Linked DNA regions of Ovis aries. The protein of the gene in region 1 purifies or fractionates together with the protein of each later gene. This does not show direct contact. Links are inferred from orthologs where the notes say so. Each region holds a gene or a part of one and is shown on either strand. Other genes may lie near its edges.

Region 1 (5,648 bases):
AGGAGCCTGGTGGGCTACAGTCCAAGGCATTTCCAAAGAGTGAGACACAACTTGGCCACTATACTACAACAACAAATGCCTTTTTATATCAAATCCTAGCTATTCCCAGTTCTAAGTAGGCTACATTCATTAATTCATTTAATCCTCACAACAATCTTAGGAGGTAAGTAGTCATTTAGTTCAGTTCAGTCGCTCAGTCATGTCCGACTCTTTGCGACCCCATGAATCGCAGCACGCCAGGCCTCCCTGTCCATCACCATCTCCTGGAGTTCACTCAGACTCACGTCCATCGAGTTGGTGATGCCATCCAGCCATCTCATCCTCGGTCATCCCCTTCTCCTCCTGCCCCCAATCCCTCCCAGCATCACAGTCTTTTCCAAAGTAGTCATTAATCCCATTCAACAAATAAGGAAATTGAGGCAGGGACTGATTAAACAGCTTGTTTCAGGTCTGGTAAACTTCTAAGCACAGGGAGCCAGGATCAGAAAACACATCGTCTGGCTCCAGTTTTATTATTTATTTATATAGGCGTTTTAACTCCACCTTATATTACCTGCTTCCTGGATTTGTGGCACATACAAATTTTCTTATTGAAACACTTTCTTTTCTTTTTGTAATGGAAGTTGAGTTAATTTACATGCCTGTCTGCATGTAAGTCACTTCAGTCATCTCTTACTCTTAATGACCCTATGGACTGTAGCCCACCAGGCTCCTTTGACTATAGGATTCTCCAAGCAAGAATACTGGAGAGGGCTGCATGCCCTCCTCCAGGGGATCTCCCCGACCGAGAGATTAAACCTGAGTTTCCTGCCTTCTCAGGCGGGTTCTTTACCACTAGTGCCACCTGGGAAGCAACATTGTATTAATTACTGCTATCCAGCAAACTGGCTCCAGCTTTCAGTTCAGTTCAGTCACTCAGTCCTGTCCACTCTTTGCAATCCCATGTACTGCAGCACACCAGGCCTCCCTGTCCATCACCAACTCCCGGAGTTTACTCAGACTCATGTCCATTGAGTTGATGATGCCATCCAACCATCTCATCCTCTGTGGTCCCCTTCTTCTCCTGCCTTCAATCTTTCCCAGCATCTGGGTCTTTTCCAGTGAGTCGGTTCTTCGAATCAGGTGGCCAAAGTTTTGGAATTTAAGCTTCAGCATCAGTCCTTCCAATGAATATTCAGGACTGATTTCCTTCAGGATGGACTGGTTGGATCTCTTTGCAGTCCAAGGGACTCTCAAGAGTCTTCTCAACACCACAGTTTAAAAGCATCAATTCTTCGGCGCTCAGCTTTCTTTATAGTCCAGCTCTCACATCGATGCATGACTACTGGAAAAACTATAGCTTTGACTAGAAGGGCCTTTGTTGGCTAAGGCAGTCCAAGGGGCTCTCAAGAGTCTTCTCTAACACCACAATTCAAAAGCATCAATTCTTCCAGCTCTAAACATTTCCTTTATCTCTCTCCTCCACTGGAATTGGAGATTGTGCCAAATTCAAAGGAGTAACTCCTGTGCTCAGCACGATCTCCGACACCATAGGGAATCATTTATTTCTCAAATTTTCATTTGGAAGGGAGAAAGAAGAAGAAGAAAAAAAAGGTGCACATCAGTAAATAATCCCATGACGGTTCGGTGACCAACACTGACGAAAAAGCATCAGCACTGGGCAAGTGCCTGAGATGTAAATTAACTCCCTGCGCGCTGAGAACTTTCAGTTATTAGTGTGGTTAGTGTCAAGAACTCCGAGGGACACAAGCGAGCTGTCCCAGCAGCCTGGCCTCCCGCCCCGACCCCTCCGTCTGGACCTCCGGCGCAGCGTCTTCCTCTCGCGGTGCTGTCCTCTCCGCGGACTCCGCCCTCCGGGATTTCCTGGGCTCTCCCTCGTCCCGCCCGGCTGAGGGCCGCGTGCGGCTTGCGGGGAGTGCTCGGGCAGAGGCGGCCGCGGCGCCGGCTGCGGCGGCGGCAGCGGGGACGCGCCTGCGCACTGGGAGCGGCGGCGCACTGCGCATGCGGGAAGATGGCGGGACTGGCGTCCTGAGTTGCGCGGGTCACGGTGCTCTTTAGCCCGCCCGCGTCCCCCGTCCCGGGGTCGAGTCTGGTCCGCCAGCCGGTCTAATTAGGCGGCGCCTCTGAGCCGGCCAGGGGCCCGGTTCGTGCTTGACGACGCCCCCTTCTCCCCTCCCGCCCCCCCAGCCCCTGGGACCCGGCGTGTTGTGTTGGGGGGTGCGTCGTCCGAGCGGAGCGGGAGAAGGCGGGAGAGCTCTCGGGGGTGCGAGGCGAGGAGCGACTGGCCGGTCAGCATGAGTCAGCAGCGACCGGCGCGGAAGCTGCCCAGCCTGCTCGTGGACCCGGCGGAGGAGGCGGTGCGCCGTCGCTGCCGCGACCCCATCAACGTGGAGGGCCTGCTGGTAAGCCCCCCCGGGGTTGGGGGCGGGGAACGCGTGCGTGTGGGGGGTCCTCGGGCTCTAGGGTGGCCCCGGGGCTGCTCCCTCGGGCTCCCGGGTTTTCGCACTGCCTGTCACGTCCTCTGAACCAGAGCCGTCGTCGTCCGCTGAAACCCTTTGCCTTATCCTTTCCATGTGCTCCAAAATAACGTTGTCAGCCTCCTCGAATTTTCCTTCGGGCCACAGAGCAGTGTTGGAGAAAATTGCACAGCTTTGCCTGACGCTGGCATGCTCTTCCATCTTTATTTCAGTGGGTCTCTGCAAGCTCTCTTTTTCGTGTTCTCTGCAGCCTCCTCTGCCCGTCTCCTACTCAGCTGCAGCCGCTTTAAACCCTGTCCACACCTCACACGTCCCACCCCACAGCTCCCCATCTTTCCTTCCGGCCACAGAGCAGTGTTGGAGAAAATTGCACAGCTTTGCCTGACACTGGCGTGCTCGCCCATCTGTATCTCAGTGGGTCTCTGCAAGCTCTCTTTTAGTGTTCTCTGCAGCCTCCTCTCCCATGCTCCTGCTTAGCTGCAGCCGCTTAAAACCGTGTCCACACATCCTACCCCACAGCTCCCCCCATTCAGCACGTCTTCCATCCTGTTTGACAGCGAAAACGCAAGGGAGATTAAGACTCTCTGTGAAACGTTCAATTCTGTTGCTCTGGACTGCATGCAGTGTATTCTTCTTATCAGCACTTTTCCATGGAAGGAACCCATCAGTCCCCATTTCTCCCTGCATTCTCGACCTCTCTGCTGCTTTCTTCCCATTACTAGTGAATAGACATTTCCTGAAGTCAGATTATCCAGACACAAGGAGGTGCTGGAAAATAGTGCTCCAAAATAGTTGATGAGCACCATCTCATTTAATTCCGCACAGCAGTTGTAAGGGATTATTCTTGTTTGACAGTTGCCAAGATAGACTTGGAGATGTTAAGTGGTTTTTCTGTGGTTAGTAAGTAGAAAAGCCTGGGTTGAACCTCCCAGTGTCTGACTCCGGATGGTAAATTCTCAACTACTTAAAGTGAAATGAAAAGTTGCTCGTGCGACCCCGTGGACCATACAGACCACAAAATTCTCCAGGTCAGAATACTGGAGTGGGTAGCCGATCCCTTCTCCAGGGGATCTTCCCAAACCAGGGGTTGAACCCAGGTCTCCCGCATTGCGGGTGGATTCTTTACCAGCTGAGCCACAAAGGGAGCCCAAGAATACTGGAGTGAGTATCCTATCCCTTTTCCATTGGATCTTCCCGACCCAACAATGTCCTAAATCCCATTTCCCTCTTGAGAGATCTCTCCTTTAATCCCTTATGCCTTTCCGCCCACTATATCACTTCCCCTTCACAGCCAAACTCTTTGAAAAAGTTGTCTGCACTCTGAGTTTTCTTGCTCACATCTCATTACCACCTTGAGCTGCTGCTGGGGGACCTCAGCCCTAAGCACAACTCTACGACTGTCCTAACCAAGGTCGTCAGCAACCTTGTCAGGTCCAGCGGATATGGTTTTAACACGATGGACCACTCACTCCGTTGGAAACTCACCATTGTGTCCCCTTGGACATACTCTCAGCACTCCATCTGCCTCTCTGGCCTCTTGTGTTCTCTTTTGTAAACTCTTCCTTTTCCCATCCCTTCCATGTTGGTCTTACTCAGCTCTTCAGCCTTCTCCACAGTTTCTTCATATGGGGTGTCATTCAGCACTCTTGTGACTTCTGTTACTGTTTGTACTGGTGGTCTTTTTCTTTTCAGTTCAGCTCAGTCGTGTCTGGCTCTCTGCCACACGTGGACTGCAGCACACCAGGCTTCTCTGTCCATCACCAACTCCCGGAGCTTGCTCAAACTCATGTCCATCAAGTCGGTGATGCCGTCCAACCATCTCATCCTCTGTTGTCCCCTTCACCTCCTGCCTTCAATCTTTCCCAGCATCAGCATCTTTTCCACTGAGTCTGTTTTTTGCATCAGATGGCCAAAGGATTGGCAACTTCAGCTTCATCTTCAGCCCTTCCTATGAATATTCAGAACTGATATTCTTTAGGATTGACTGGTTGGATATCTTTGCAGTCCAAGGGACTCTCAAGAGTCTTCTCCAGCACCAGAGTTCAAATGCATCAGTTCTTCGGTGCTCAGCTTTCTTTATGGTCCAATTCTCACATCCATACCTGATTACTGGAAAAACCATACCTTTGACTAGACCAGCCTTTGTCAGGAAAGTAATGTCTCTGCTTTTTAATATGCTGTCTAGGTTTTTCATAGACTTTCTTCTCATTATTTTAGAATTTGATAAAAGCTATGAACTCTTACTATGGAAAAAACTTTATTTTGCATTTAATGTCAGAAGATACACGTATCCCTTGGAGTTTCAGAGAGTCTTATCCACTCTGGTCGGGCTTCTCTGATGGCTCAGTGGTGAAGAATCTGCCTGCTAGTGCAGGAGACACAGATTCATTCCCCTGGATTGGGAAGATCCCCTGGAGACGGAAATGGCAACCTGCTCCAGTATTCTTGCCTGGGAAATCCCATGGCCAGAGGAGCCTGGTGGGCTACATCCATGGGGTCACAAAAGTGGGACACAACTTAGCCACTAAACAATAACAATCTACTCTGGTAGTTTGGTTACCGTGTCATGACTCCCAAATCTGTAAATTGGGCTCAGAGCTTTCCAGTTGTCTACTATACAACTCTACCTAGATTTCAAACTCATACACCTGAAGTGGAATTCGTGTCTTGCTTAAGCAACAACTCTCGATCTCATATTGCAACAAATGGTACCACACCCTCCATATTGCCCTAGCTGGTATCCTACGTATAATCTTTACCTTTTCCAAATGGACCCCCTCCATCCTGTCTAATAGAAATTAGTCACCAGTACTTGCCACTTCTAGCTGTCATTTTGCCTTTCAGATTGCTATCTTCTCAACTAGTTTTCCTGCTTCTCATCTTGCCCCTGATTTTCCTATATATTCTCTACATAGTAACTAACCATAATGGTCTTTTTAAAGTGTATGTACGATCACGTCGTTTGGCTTAAAGAATCTATCATGGTTCCCAGCTGCTCTCATCATAGAGGAGAAACTTCTTAATGTCATCAGACTCCTGAGTTTATCTTTGCTGAACTGCTTATGGTTACTGAATTTTCCATATGTCTGTATTCTTCTGAACTTCTGTATATCTGCACTTCCACCTTCAAAAATTTTTTTCTTTAGAGCACACTTTCTCTTATTTACCTCC
Region 2 (4,852 bases), on another chromosome or scaffold:
CAGAAGACCTCCAGTTAAGATTACGATGGTTTCACATCAAGATAATGGTTCCAGCTACTCTTTGGAACAGATCCTGTGGGGATAACAACAGAGGTCACCCTGGGGACCCTGAATGAGACAGTACGAGAGCTCCATGACCCCAGCTAGGTAGGGTCTATGAGCCCCGTGCCAGCCTGAAGAAGCTGCAGAAGACAGACCTTCGCCCTTCAGCCTCCCAATAAAGATTTTTGGGGTTCATGTCTCTCAAAAAAAAAAGGTCATAAATAACAGCTTTAGTAAGGAAAATCCTTAGTAGATCTTTCAAATACTACTTCATTTGAGTCTTGGTTCCCAGAATTACCATCAGACTTGTCTTTTGACTGGGTGGGACTTTTTTTTTTTTTCCCAATTATAATCACTCTTGACTGCCATATTTTTGGGGATATAGTTAAATCAACTGGACTCGACTTCTCATTATTATGTGGGGTCTTATAGAGTGTGACAGTTTATTTCCTCTCAACCTATAGGTAAGACAGAAGAAGTGGTCCTGAAGAAGCTAGAGTATATTTATGCAAAACAACAAGCATTAGAGGCACAAAAGAGAAAGAAGAAGATGGGATCAGATGAGTTTGCTGTGTCTCCCAGAACTAGCAAACAGCAGGAAGGAGCTCCTGCATCATCTGTAGATCTCGGACAGATGTTTATAAATAACAGGAAAGGGAAGCCTTTGATTCTTTCCAGAAAAAAAGACCAGGCCACAGGTAGGAGGGACATTTGCTTTCCTTGATGCAGATGAACATTTGGTTTAGATTAAAGAACTGAACATCTTGGCCATAATTTTAGTTTTAATTAGATGAAAGATGAGTTGTATTAAAAGCAGAATATTAACTACATTAGATTTCATTTTCTAGCTTTACACACTCAAGCAAATCCTAATAAGTTATCCGTCATGGTAATATAAGACTTATTTCTGGTAGGAGTTTATTTTTGTTAACCAAGCTCTTTTTAATCAGATTGCAGTCTGTCAATGAATTGCTATATAGGAACAAAGTAAATTGGTTTTGATTTCTTACTCTGTCCTATATGATTTTGAAGGTGAGGCTATGTTACATTACTATGTTTACATTACTTGCTTATATCCTCTGAAAATGGTATATCCTTTTCTACTCTTTTACTCTTTGGATAGCCAAGTGTAGCAACCAAGGAAATCTGGTTTGTTATATCAGCTAAGAAGGTGGTGATGTATACTAAAATATGAGTTAGTTTTCACATTGCACATTCAAGTGATGTTATTGCTAGATAAGTAAGGACTTTAGTGACCATCTAGTCCAGTCACCTTATTTTACAGATGGAAAAACTGAGGTCTAAAAGCTTGAAGTAATTTCTTAGAGGTTTATAGGAAAGCAAACCTAGGGATAAAATAGTGTGTACCTTCATCCTGCTTCACCAGCAAGACCATCAGAAGCATTCCATTGAAAAAGTGGTTCCGTAGCTCTGTTCCTCAGCAAAAATAAAATTCTGTCCTTTAAGAGAATCAGTGGATAGGTAACCATTACTGAAAAGTCATTCAAAAAGTAAATTGCAAGTTGAGGTTCCCCAACAAATTTGAAATGTCTTGCTTTTTAAGTCAGAGTGTGGTTTTAGGCATGTCTCCTACATTCCTAGACTGTACACTAGCATTAATTGAAGATCGTTTATCCTTAACTAATTTCTGATGTTCTTTACAGAAAATACCTCACCCTCTAATACTCCACACACCTCTGCCAACATTGTGATGACTCCACAAGGGCAATTGCTCACTTTGAAAGGTCCCCTATTCTCAGGACCAGTGGTTACTGTTTCTCCTGCTCTCTTAGAAACAGATCTGAAACCTCAAGTTGCCAGTAGTGCTGTGGCTCAATCAGGTATTGTCTTAAGTGTTGTCTTCAATGGGTGGTGTAAGAGTTGTCTCTGGTATCTCAAAGTGATGGAGAAAGCCTTTGAATATATTCTGTAGTAATAAAGAGCCATTGTATTCAAGTCTGTATGAGAGGGGTCTCTTTGGAACCTGTTTGGCTCTATCTGTGATATCAATTGGTCTTTTTTTACCTGGGGATGGGAACTATTTTGTGATCTCTCCTAATTTCTAATTGTGTGGTAAGTTGCTTCAGTTGTGTCCAACTCTTTGTGACCCTATGAACTGTGGCTCTCCAGGCTCCTCTGTCCATGGGATTCTCCAGGCAAGAATACTGAAATGGGTTGCCATGGCCTCCTCCAGATCTTTCCTACCCAGGGATCAAATCCCTCTCTCTCGTGTCTCCTGCATTGGCAGGAGGGTTCTTCAACCCTGGCTCCACCTGGGAAGCCCAGTTTCTAATTAGGGAAAGAATTTAAAAGATGTGAAAATAAAAGGAATGTGAGGAGTCATTCTTTTAGCTTTTGGTGTTGATAAATATGTATCAGTTTTGTGTTGTACTCAAAGATGGTGCACTCCTACATTACTAACCTGATAAAGTTGGAGCACCCTTTCTTTTGGCAATGAGGAGTTGAGTTGAAAAGGAAATTTTACTTTGATAATTTAGGTTTTACAAACCTTAATTTCTGTTAAGGTAAAAGGGCATCTTTACCAATACTAACACTGCTAAACCCAGTCTGGAGGAGTCATCTTCCTAGAGTGCTGCCTTTAGGGCTTCATCTTTCTGTCAGAGTAGCAGTTACTGGGTGAGCAGAGTCAAGATGCGTGTCTGCCTCAGGACAAAAAGATAAACTTGGGGAGCATTTATATAAAAAATATTAAATAGGACTTCTATTAATGATGGAATATCAGTGTGTCTTTTGGTTAAATTTTACCTATTTTCTTGTTAGGCTAACTCTAATTTGAAAAACTAGTATTTCCTTTCATCTTCTTGCTAAAAGTAGATGGTGAAAATTTAACTCCTTTGAGATGGTTATTGGGTATGAATGGGAGAGAGTGCTTACCACTATAGATAAATGAGTTTTTTTTTTTCTTCCCTAGAAAATGACGACTTATTTATGATGCCAAGAATTGTTAATGTGACATCATTGGCAACAGAGGGAGGTTTGGTAGATATGAGTGGCAGCAAATACCCCCATGAAGTTCCTGATGGCAAGCCACCTGACCACCTGAAAAACACTGTCAGGAGTGAGGATAACTCCTGTGAAGATTTGGGTAGAATCTCTTCCAGAGGCAACCATAGAGATGTCAGAATGGCACTGGGTACAGCACAGGTTTATCTGTCACATAAAGATTCTGGTTGTCCACAAATGGTTGATGTTTCCAGTATGCAAGAAGCACAAGAATTCTTACCCAAAAAGATTTCTGGTGATACCAGAGGGAGTCAGCATAAATGGAAAGAGAGTGAATCAAGACGGGAGAGACTGAAGACAAAGGAGTCTCCATTTCATAAATTAAAGATGAAAGATCTCAAAGACTCAAGCATAGAGATGGAATTGAGAAAGGTAGCATCAGCTATAGAGGAAGCAGCATTGGATCCCAGTGAACTGCTAACTAGTATGGAAGATGAGGATGATACTGATGAGACACTGACATCTCTGCTCAATGAGATTGCCTTTCTTAATCAGCAGTTAAATGATGACTCTGTTAGCCTGGCTGAACTGCCTAGCTCTCTGGATACAGAGTTCCCAGGGGATGCTCGCCGGGCTTTTATCAGTAAGCTTCCTCCTGGGAACAGAGCAACTTTCCAGGTTGGCCACTTGGGAACTGGTTTGAAGGAATTGCCTGATGTGCAAGGGGAGAGTGACTCTGTCAGCCCCCTCCTCTTGCACTTGGAAGATGATGACTTTTCTGAAAGTGAAAAGCAACTTGCAGAACCAGCCTCTGAACCAGATGTGCTGAAGATTGTCATTGACTCTGAGATAAAGGACTCCCTCGTTCCCCAGAGGAAACCGGGGGATGAAGGGAAGAATGCTTCTGGCATCCCTGCTGAGCCTGAAAGCGTGTCCTCACCCCCCATTCTCCACATGAAGGGTGGCCTGGAGAACAGCAGCGCAGACACCTTGTGGAGGCCCATGCCAAAGCTGGCACCTCTAGGTTTAAAAGTAGCTAATCCTTCCAGTGATACAGAGGGTCAGAGTCTCAAGGTGATGCCTTGTTTGGCACCTGTAGCTGCCAAAGTTGGGTCTGTTGGACACAAAATGAACTTAACAGGGAATGATCAGGAATGCCGGGAGAGCAAGGTGATGCCTACACTGGCACCTGTTGTGGCCAAACTGGGCAACACTGGGGCCTCGCCAAGTTCTGCAGGGAAATGAACTTAGTTGTTCTCAGGCAGAAGCCAGGCTGTGAGGGGAAACCTCCTTTCTCTGCAGGCACCTGTTTGTGTCATGGAACTGTGATCCTTGACTTTGAAATGTGGTGAATGATGGTAGAGAAAGGGGGTAGGGTGCTGACATCCATATAAGAAATTAACTACTATGAAATTCTGATCATGTTAAAATGTGTTACCTCACTTGTGGTGCTGGGTCTCCTCATCCTCTCCAAGAAGATGCGATCCATTACTGAACACGAGGTGCCCCTCTTACCCAAGGAATTTGTAACAAGACTAGGTCCATAGTGGTTCCTAGTTCTTCCCTCCCAGAGTAAAAGCTGCTTGAGACTTAGGAGTTGCTATGGACTGAACCTTAGTTGATAGCTGTTGTTTTAAGTCTGAAGTCCAAGGAATGTGATGCACTTGTGCAAAGGGATCCAGAAGAGGTAGCTTTTAGTTGGTGTTTCAGAATAGGGGGAGAGAGGATGGGTACCATGGAATACCAAAGTGAAGGACTTAGTATCATTCAACAAAATTTTCTTTTCTTTCATATCCTAAGTAGCTTCCATTCCCTCACCTTTTCAATCAGAATTATAAATCTAAGC
Region 3 (4,852 bases), on another chromosome or scaffold:
GCAAACGCCAGGAACAGAGTAGGAAAAAGACAAAGAAATGAGGCCGAAACACACAAAACCCTTCACTGGGATCTGCTGACCGCAGCCAGAACCAGGGCTGGATCACATAATGGGGACGGAAGGGGAGGGGCGGGCGAGGGTGGGGAGGGTCCGCACTGGGGTGCGGGTTTAGTACGAGGTGAACTGCTCTTGGTATTTACATACAAAATCAGTTGGCTCTATTTCTTAGAAATACACACGGAAAGAAAGGAAGATTTGATCATTACTTCATGAATCTGTCGCTTTGCCATACCGACATCATCAGAGATAGGGACAATTCACTTGGGTTCAAATTTCAGTAGCAGGAAATAAATATCAAAACATCATCACTGGCCCTCAATACAAAACCTCTACCCAACCCGACCCTCCCTCCTTGGCCCACCCACCCTCTGCCACCCCCTGGCAGCTCCCGTTCCACTGCTGCCGTCCCCTCACGCCACACAAGCGTCACACGGCCTCCCTAAAGCTAGCTGAGAGAAGCAGGAGTGAAACAGGCCGAGACTCTGTGCTGCAAATCTGTCCCCACTTCCTTTTATACCACAAACTTCTCCAAGGATCTGGTCTTTCAATAGGAGCGATAAATAGCCTTTTCAGGGGAAAAAAAAAATCCTTAAAAAGAAGGGGGAATAATTCTGATTACTCCAAACTGGTCATCTTCTGAAAGTAGAGCAGTCCACAGATTCACAAAGTCTATCAAACAGAGGTGAGGATGGCCCAGAAGGAGAGGCCTGGGTGGGGCAGGAGTCCCCCGGGCATGTGCCTGGAGGGGCTGGAGGAGCTGGTGGGTGGTCAGGACACCATGTGCTCAGAGGTCTGGCCGGCCGTCTGTCCTCCACAGAGAAAGCTGCCAAGTTGGGGTGTTTTGGTTTAAAAATTCCTGGTGGGGACAGGGAATCCCTGAAGGGAAACGTTAAAAAAAAAAAAAAAAAAAAGTGGAAACGGGGAAGGAGAACGAGAGCTGTTGTCCAAGAGCTTCTACGTAAAAATAAAATTTAAAAAAAAAATGAGAAAGAGGAAAAAAAAAACAAAGAGTCTCTTAAATGGTTCTGAGAGTTCTAAAGATGAACTGAAAGGAGGATGAGACGACGGAGGAGACAGACAGTTTTTATTGCTGGCCTGCCCCGTGGAGCTTAGCTGGCCTCCATCCGGAGCTTCTTCCTGCTTTGGGGCTCTTCGGGCTCCGACTCCGAGCTGGAGTCCGAGCCCCCATCGAAGGCAGAGATGGTGCTGCCCTTGGCGTTGGTGTAGAGGCTGCTGTCTGAGGAGGGGTAGTTGGTCTGCAGTTGGGCACTCGACCTCGCCTTCTCCAGTGCACGGACTGAAAGGCAACCAAGCGAGCGGGTTACAGCCTTCTGGAGACTAGGGGAGGAACTGAGTCTTGGGTTGGGGTCCAGCCTGTTCTTCCGAGGGCATGCTGGCCCCTGAGGCTCAGGGTGGCTCATAAGTAACTCCCTTCCGCTGGCTGGCCCACCTGCACACTCCCACTTCCCTTTGCCTTTCCCAGCCAGACACGAGTGCTCAGTGGATACGGCCAGCCACTCTGCAAGGCCACCCAACCCTGAAGAGAAGGCGTGTGAGGTCACCATCCTGCCGTGGAAGCCCAGTACAGAGAGAGGAACACGAGCTCGCTGCGGGACCCAGCAGTGCAGTAACAGTGCAGCTGGCCCAGCAATGCCTGGCTCCACAAGGGTGTGAGGGTCACACATTAGCAGGGAAGGATGACAGAAGATGTACCAGCCAAAGAAAAGTTTTGGCTTAGCTCTCATGTACAAGATCCACTTGGAAAGACAAGCTGGACACTTGGAAGCAAGTCACCAATACACAGAGTACCTGGGTTTTCCAACACGGAGCCCCTACATGCAGGCTGCTTGGCCCGGTAACCAACCCGCTGCCGCCTCCCACTGCCCATCCCTCGGTTCAGCTCGTCTTGAGCCTGGAAGGTCAACCCATTTATTTTGGTTTAGTTTATTTTATTTGAGATGTTCTAACCCAGATGGTTACTTGCATTTCCTTTTACTTGCATCTTCCATGAGGGAGGAAGAGAAGTGAATTCCCCAGGAACAAAGAACTTGATCAGCTCTCGCTTTCCCCTGTGGTTGTAGGAAAAGGCGGGTGTGAGCATTGGAGAACAGCATGGGCCTGGCCCATGGGCTGCCCTGAGTGGACTACCGTTGACACGGGGAGCGCTCACTGTCCCTGAACACCTGGAGTCTCTGGCGCTTACACAGCACACTCCAATCCAAGGACCTCACAGCTCTTTTGAGGCACCTGAGGCCAGCTGCGATCTCTACTACCAGTGCAACACTTGGGCCCCAAGAAGGGGAGAGCGAGCAGGTCAGAAAAAAGAATCCAGATGGCTAAGCCTTAGACTCCACTGTTCCCTCACCAAGGGCTCAGGTCCTTCCTCAGGATGGCTACACTCGACTACAGGCCCAAGCAGCAGGGCTGCAGCTGCTCAGGAGCATGGCTCCGTCACTGGTTCTGACTCTGCAGGCCCCGGCGTGAGGCCCTGACCTGGCTGGCGCACAGCAGGGCCAGCTGCCCCACAAGCTCCACTGCTCACCTTGCTGCTCCAGGAGAGCATTCTGCCGCTTGAGGTCATCAATATCTTGCTGGTGTGTGTGGTTTTTCCTTCGCATATACTGGATATACTCTGTGGCTTTGTCTAGGATTTGGGCCCGGGATGCCTGTTGCAATATGAGAAAAAGCAGAGGGGACAAAATAAAGACCTAGTCCATGCAGCAAGGAAACCATTCCTTTCAGCAAAGGCCACGTGGGGGACAGAAGTAGGAGGGGAAGGGCACGAAGCACTAAGTGCTGTAGAGAATCTTCTTTATGCCGGTCAAGGCACCAGCTGCTTTCCACAGCTTACCTCACTGGCACTCTAAGAAAGGTGGTTCCACTAGGAACCCGAGTCTCAGAGAAGTTTACTGGTTTATTCAAAATCACCAGCTAAAGGGTGTAGAGTCTGGATTCAAACTCAGCTCTGTCTCAACCCTGAACTTGTTTCCCAGCCAGCCTCTTTGGTTCTTTAGGTTGCTTTCACATCTTCGGCCAGGCTGTTCTGAAAAAATTAAACTACCACTTAACTGAGAGCTAAGGTCACTCACTCTCTGCTGGGCCTAGCTATAGGCAGCTGGTCCAGAAAGACAAAATCAAGATCTCAGCTGGAGCTGGCTCAGGATGGGGATGGGTACAAAGGTTTTCATCAAGGTCTGAGACTTCAGACAAGTACTCAGATTGTTGTTAACTAGTTCCAACTAAGCCATGTGACCGAGTCACTATTTCAACCTCTCTGGCTAAAGAGAAGTTTGTGAAAGCTGTCAGAGCTTGGTGTCAACACAGGAAGGGCATGAGATTGGGCCATTTCAGGAAGCAACCACACCTTTACCATGGCTGAGGGTAGCCTAGGGACTGCCCTGTAGAGGAACAAGTTAATGAGCTAATAAAATGGATGTCAGGTTACTTGAATCCTGGAGGTCAAACTTGTCTGGGAGATTCCCTGCAGGGTTGCAAACATGGCCTGAGTTACTCATGACCAAGCAGTCAACTGACTGAACTGGCAGAATGGTACAAGGCCCAGAGAACAGAAGCCCGAGACAAGCTAGTCTAGTGGCTGAAGTCCGGCAGTCATGCCACTGAGACTCCTGAGCAGGAGCAAAGCTTCTGAAATGGCAAAGAAAACAGCCACACTTGGGCGAGCAAAACTATACCCACTTGTAGTAAACCCTGACAATCGCAACTCATAGACTCCAGCACGGCCGGGTATCAGAGAGGTTTGGAAGACCCAGGTTGATTCACCCGTTCTCCCAAGCACTAGAGTCTCCAGGCTTTCCTCTTATGGCATCCTTAAGGCAATTTCCTCAAAAGGAAACTGTTCATATTCAACCATTTTTATCTGGTGTGAATTATGTGTCAGGCACAGAGCAGACACTGTGGGGAAACAAAATGTATTAGTCATGGCCTCTTTGCCCAGATGCTTACTTACTATCTAGTTGAGGAGATAAACATATCTATATACAGACAAATCACAGGGCAGTACCAACAAGCGTAACTTGAGTGGTACAGATTACAAAGGCCACGGGAAGGACGGCTTTTGGCCGGGGTGGTCACCTTGTGTGTGCCAGGAATTAGCCTTGGCTCTGCACACAAAGGCTCCCGTCTGAACCAGTGGGTCAGGGTGGGTTAGACTGAGGCGGAATTTGTGAAAAAGGGTTGCTCTGGGCACGGAGAACAGCGTAGACAAGGGCATGAGGGTGGAGACAGGACCAGGTCTCCATCTTCAGTTGAGTATGTCAGCTGATGGAGAGAAAGTGAGGGCACCTACCAGTGGGGGGTGGGGGGCAGGGCACGCAACTCTCGTTACAAGGCCACTTCAGAGGCTGTTTCCCATTTCTGCCAAAGGAGACTTATTAGGGTTAATTACTGGGTGATAAAACGGGGGCCGGGGAAAGGGCACATATTTAGAAGGGACTAATTAAAATACCCTGCCTCTCTGGATGCTAGAGAGGGGATTAAGAATATGTATAGTCAGGATAGGTGGCAGGATGGCAGGGTGGGGAGAAAAGCTTAGGAATCCAGCAGACGGGTCCCTCCAGAGTCCTGTCCCTAAGGTGCTCTGGGACCGCAGACACAGTCTTTCTCGCAGGGTTATTTCTTATCTGACAAGAAACTCTCTGACCCCACTGAGCCTTCCAAATTCTATGCATTCCATCACTGATCTAATTGCCATGCATATTTGTATCACAGCCTCTCTTTAAATTTGCTGTTGTTTCCCCGACTAACTGTTGCTCCCAGAATGCAACATTAACCT
Region 4 (4,852 bases), about 200 Mb from region 1:
TGTGGTAAAGAATCTGCCTGGCAATGCAAGAGAGGTGGGTTTGATCCCTGGGTCAGGAAGATCCCCTGGAGAAGGAAATGGCAACCCACTCCAGTATTCTTGCCTGGGAAATCCCATGGACAGAGGAGCCTGATTGGCTACAGTCCATGGGGTTGCAAATGAGTCGGACACAACTGAGTGACTAGACAACAACACAGCTGATTAACAATGTTATGCTAGTTTCAGGTGAACAGCAAAAGGATTCAGCCATACATATGCGTCTGTCCATTCTCCCCCAATCATTGATCTCTTTAATACATTCTCTGGGCCTCTCTGATCAGTGCTTAAGCTACAAATTACCGACCAGGTTTTCCTTATAGCTCAGATGGTAAAAAAAATCTGCCTCTGATGCTGGAGACCTGGGCTCTGGCAAATCCCCTGGGGAAGGAAATGGCAACCCACTCCAGTATACTTGCCTGAAGAAAAATCCCATGGACAGAGGAGCCTGGCGGGCTACAGTCCGTGGGTCGCAAAGAGTCGGAAATGACTAAGCGACTAACACACACACAGGTCAGTGGCCTTTCACTCTGGGGTAGGACCCCTTTGAGCACCTCATAAACTCTGTTCAGTTCATGAGCCTTCTGAAGCCCCTTCTTTGCCATAAACCTATAGGAGCACCAGGGGAAGGAGATGGCTGAGAGCTTTGGCCACCAGCGAGAACTTCCTGGCAGTAGCAGAGCTTAAAAGATGGAAAAATGTATCCCTCCCTGCCCTCTGGCTCTGCCAACCCCCACCCCAGCAGGTGAACAATGGCTAAGTGCTTTCTGAGTTCAGCACAATATGTGACCCTCACCCTTGCAACTCCCCCCTGAGCTAAGCATTATAATTGTTATCATCTTGATTTACAAGTGAAGAAACGAGTCCCAAAGAGATTACCAGGGCAGTCCAAATCCAGAGCCTTGTTATCAGCCTTTAGGCTACCAACAGGCTCTCCTCCCTCCAGGGAAAACCACCTACCAAGAAGGCCAAAGTTCTGCACAAAGCTGCTTGGTCTGCCAAAATTGGAGCCTTCCTCCACTCCCAGGGGACAGGACAGCTTGCTGATGGGACCCCAACTGGGCAGGACGGTAAGTCAGTAGGGACTGGTGCTCTGGAAGCCAGTGGGGTGTGGTGCCAGGACTCAGCAGGTGAGGGGAGGGGTCGCTCCCTAGGAGCCAGGATTGGAGAAGGGCCAGCTAGAAAGGGCCAGCCCAGGCTCGCTTTAGATGGCATCTTCCTCACCTGGGAGTAACTGTGAGATGGCCCAGAAGATCCCTCAATCACTCTACTCTTGAGCACTGAAAAGCCAAGAGTTAGCTTCCTTTGTTTAGCATTGCCTGTAGCTCTCTGGCTTTTGTTTTCCTGGGGCAGTGGAGACCTAGACCTGGTGTGAAGAAGGGTGATGGGATCAGGAACTTCTCTCTTTCTGAGCATGAGTAGCTGTTTGTAAATAAATGTAGACTGGCAGCTGTGTACTAGGTGGTCTGACACAGCTCCCAGATCAGGGCTGGAGGGACTGTGGTGTGTGTGCCTCCCACCCATCTAGATTGGCTGTGGCCAATGAGAGGTTGGGGGCGGTCTGAGGAATTTAAGCCTTGAGGGTCTTTGAATTTCCCTCTTTCTCTTGAGGGAGAAAGATCAGACATTTCCCTCTGACTCTCTCTACTGAGAGTCTGGCAGCCTCTGGATGAGGTCCTCCCCGTCCCATCCTGATGGCCACTGCTGGGGCAGGTATGGGGTGGGCCTGGGCTGCGTGGTGGGAAGGGGCCTGTGCTCCCGGTCCCCAGGCCCGGGTTCCTGCAGTGGCCACTGCTGGGGCAGGTATGGGGTCGGCCCAGGCTGCTCCCAGTCCTCAGGCCCGCCTGGTTTCCTGGAGTCACTGCTGCGAGAGCTCCGCACTTCAACCCCTCAACTCTGGTCCTCTTGGCTCTGCAGCGCTGGTCTTGGGTTTCGACTGGGGGAAGTTCCTGAAGGATCACAGTTACAAGGCTGCTCCTGTCAGCTGCTTTAAGCATGTGAGTGCCCTGGGCATGAGGGGAGGGAGGGCAGGGGCCCGGTTGCTGCTGCCGGTTCACCCACCTGCCTCACTGCTTCAGCACTGGGAGGGAACAGGATGAAGTCTGGGTGCTCAAAGCCCGGCTTTGCCACTGGCTCCAATTCACCTTTCTGCCCACTTGTCCTTCACCAAGTCCTCCCAAAGACCCTCTTCGAGGGCTTTGAGCACTCCCCTCGGAGGTCACCCCCAGGCTGATTCACATAATGGCACTTTGTGCTTTGGTATCCAGAGCCAACTGTGAGAATCCCTTTCTCTTTTCCCCCATTTTTAGTGCTTTCCTGTTGACAGCTTGGTGCCTGTGAACTGCCCCCGGCCCATTGGCTCCTGGGAGGCAGATATGGGTGGCTCCTGGGAGGCAGATATGGGTGCCTCCTGGAACCCCTTCTGCTAAAGCCTCCCTGACTCCCTGTCAATGCCTAAATTGCATCTGACTCCTTGAGACCCCGTGGACTATAGCCCGCCAGGCTCCTCCATCCCTGGAGTTTTCCTGGCAAGAACACTAGAGTGAGTTGTCATCCCCTCCTCCAGGAGATCTTCCCGACTCAGGGATCAAACCCTGCATTGGCAGGCAGATTCTTTACCACTGAGCCACCTGGGAAGCCCCAGGTGGCTGTCACTGAGAAGCGGCCGAGGCTGAGACTGGAGGGCTGGGCTTGGAGTGCAGGCCTGAGCAGTGGTCCCCCACAGGTGCAGAGAGAGGCAGAGGGGGCTCCTAAACCCCAGGAAATCTGGAGAAGGCCTATTTAGTTTATCTTGGCTGCATTGGGTCTTTGTTGCGGAGCACAGGGGCTTCTTGTTACAATGCAAGGGCTTAGTTGCCCCTTGGCTTGTGGGTGCTTAGTCCCCAACAAGGGATTGAGCTCACGACCTGCACTGACAGGCAGGTTCTTACCCACTGTACCACGAGAGAAATCCAGCCACCCGGTATGACGATTGAAGGAGTGCTGTTTGTGTCTTAGAAGCGCCTGTTACATAGTCAGAGTGGGAAACTGCTAGATGTCTGCTGGTACAGGTGTGATGTGCCAGAGGGTAGCAACTGGGAGCCGGTCCTGTAGAGATGGGCAGGGCTGTCTGACACTGCGACTCCCGTCCCCTGACTCGGCTCTTCACAGAGGCGGGCGCGTCCATTCATCGCTTCCTCCCTGGTGCTGGGCCCGGCCTTCCACACACAGTGAGGGGAAATACCGAGGGGCAAAGGAGAGGATACAGCGCGTTTGTGAGGCCCTGCGGCCAGCCGCTCTCCTCTGCCCACCCAGGTGGCTCACTGTCCCCTTGAACCCTCTCACCCCCGCGCAGGTCCCACTCTATGACCAGTGGGAGGATGTGATGAAGGGAATGAAGGTAGAGGTTCTCAACAGCGACGCCGTGCTCCCCAGCCGGGTGTACTGGATCGCCTCGGTCATCCAGGCAGCAGGTGGGTGCTCCTCCGGCCAAGGCGGGGTCAGGGGCTGGGGGCGACATCTCCAGATGGACAGGCAGTGCCGGAGCAGACATCAGCTTCATAAAACAAAAAAACCCGCCCACTGGAGTTTGGTTCTCCCTCCTTGCTATGCTTTCGTGCTGCCTACCTTAGAGGGGGCCACAGAGCTTGGCGAGTTTGGAAACCCCCATTTTGAAGTTCATTCCGGGGTTGATCAGGCCGTAGAAAATTACTCCCCTACTGTGCCATACTGCTTTCCAGGTACATGGCAGGGGTTTGTTTTCGCTCTGGCTGTTGTAGAAGGGGTTCTTGGAGTAGGCAGCCTGGTTTAGGCTGGAGAAGCAAGAAGGCCTAAGAGTTCATCTCCCCTTCCTCCTGCTCAGGGTACCGGGTGCTGCTTCGATATGAAGGCTTTGAAAATGATGCCAGCCATGACTTCTGGTGCAACCTGGGGACTGTGGATGTCCACCCCATCGGCTGGTGTGCCATCAACAGCAAGATCCTGGTGCCCCCGCGGAGTGAGTTACGAGAGTGCTCCCCGTCCTGGTTCCTGTGGCCCCCCTGGGAGAAGTCAGACCAGCCCAGAGCCCTCCTGCCTCCTCACTTCCTCTCCTCCCTCCTCCAGAGGCCCCAGGGCAGGTCCAGGTTGGGGAGTCCAGGACTGCTGGCCTGAGAAGGCAGAAATACGTCATTCAGGCCCTCTGCTGCTCTCTGGGGCAGACTGGCACCCGTCAGCAGAGTGGTGGCAGTCTGTATTTAGGATTCTGCTCTGTCTCCCCAGCCATCCATGCCAAGTTCACCGACTGGAAGGGCTACCTCATGAAACGGCTGGTGGGCTCCAGGACACTTCCTGTGGACTTCCATATCAAGGTCTGGCAGAGCACCCTGGGGTCTCCTGACTGGCCTGCTCCTGCCCTTTCCCCTTCTGTCGGTCCTTGGTGCTGCTCACTGGAGTATTTTTTCTAAGACCCCCTTGGTTTAGCCATCAGAGCAGCTCCAGATTCCCTAAGTATGGGTGGTGGGCGTCTTCTGCCAGTAGCTTCCTCCCTTCTCTGTTCCAGCCTCATCGGTCATGTTGCTTTGTCTGCTGGTGTGCTCTTCCAGATCCTTCCCTTTGCTCATAGCATTTTCAGGAGCATTCATTCAACTGGGCTTCCCAGGTGGCGCTAGTGGTAAAGAACCTGCCTGCAATGTAGGAGACCTCTATTCATTCAGTAGATTTGACTAAGTGCTTGTTGTATACAAGGCACTGCCATCTGGCATGCTCCCCCTCCTGGTGGGATTTGGAATTGCACTGCTCAGTCCTCACCACCACTAAGAAACTGGAATGGCTCTCCCTGAGTCCGCAGTGCCCCGGT

What was found.
Region 2: the proteins of E2F6 (region 1) and MGA purify together in Homo sapiens (affinity purification with mass spectrometry; 3 studies listed by BioGRID and IntAct, counting the BioPlex papers as one, with this or other methods). This does not show direct contact. The link is inferred for Ovis aries from reciprocal best matches to the Homo sapiens genes E2F6 and MGA.
Region 3: the proteins of E2F6 (region 1) and MAX purify together in Homo sapiens (affinity purification with mass spectrometry; 5 studies listed by BioGRID and IntAct, with this or other methods). This does not show direct contact. The link is inferred for Ovis aries from reciprocal best matches to the Homo sapiens genes E2F6 and MAX.
Region 4: the proteins of E2F6 (region 1) and L3MBTL2 purify together in Homo sapiens (affinity purification with mass spectrometry; 5 studies listed by BioGRID and IntAct, counting the BioPlex papers as one, with this or other methods). This does not show direct contact. The link is inferred for Ovis aries from reciprocal best matches to the Homo sapiens genes E2F6 and L3MBTL2.

The regions. Positions count from the first base shown.
Region 1 is NC_056056.1:20,420,963-20,426,610, reverse strand, and holds the start of E2F6 (transcription factor E2F6), read left to right. Parts: upstream 1-1,994; 5' UTR 1,995-2,294; coding exon 2,295-2,402; intron 2,403-5,648. UniProt on the Homo sapiens protein: Inhibitor of E2F-dependent transcription. Binds DNA cooperatively with DP proteins through the E2 recognition site, 5'-TTTC[CG]CGC-3'. Has a preference for the 5'-TTTCCCGC-3' E2F recognition site.
Region 2 is NC_056060.1:35,374,949-35,379,800, forward strand, and holds part of MGA (MAX gene-associated protein), read left to right. Parts: intron 1-506; coding exon 507-740; intron 741-1,706; coding exon 1,707-1,883; intron 1,884-2,974; coding exon 2,975-4,251; 3' UTR 4,252-4,852. UniProt on the Homo sapiens protein: Functions as a dual-specificity transcription factor, regulating the expression of both MAX-network and T-box family target genes. Functions as a repressor or an activator.
Region 3 is NC_056060.1:75,271,994-75,276,845, forward strand, and holds part of MAX (protein max), read right to left. Parts: intron 2,727-4,852; coding exon 2,603-2,726; intron 2,130-2,602; coding exon of another isoform or gene 2,113-2,129; exon of another isoform or gene 1,358-2,112; coding exon 1,170-1,357; 3' UTR 1-1,169. UniProt on the Homo sapiens protein: Transcription regulator. Forms a sequence-specific DNA-binding protein complex with MYC or MAD which recognizes the core sequence 5'-CAC[GA]TG-3'. The MYC:MAX complex is a transcriptional activator, whereas the MAD:MAX complex is a repressor.
Region 4 is NC_056056.1:218,200,538-218,205,389, forward strand, and holds part of L3MBTL2 (lethal(3)malignant brain tumor-like protein 2), read left to right. Parts: intron 1-982; coding exon 983-1,106; intron 1,107-1,953; coding exon 1,954-2,033; intron 2,034-3,370; coding exon 3,371-3,488; intron 3,489-3,877; coding exon 3,878-4,012; intron 4,013-4,275; coding exon 4,276-4,364; intron 4,365-4,852. UniProt on the Homo sapiens protein: Putative Polycomb group (PcG) protein. PcG proteins maintain the transcriptionally repressive state of genes, probably via a modification of chromatin, rendering it heritably changed in its expressibility.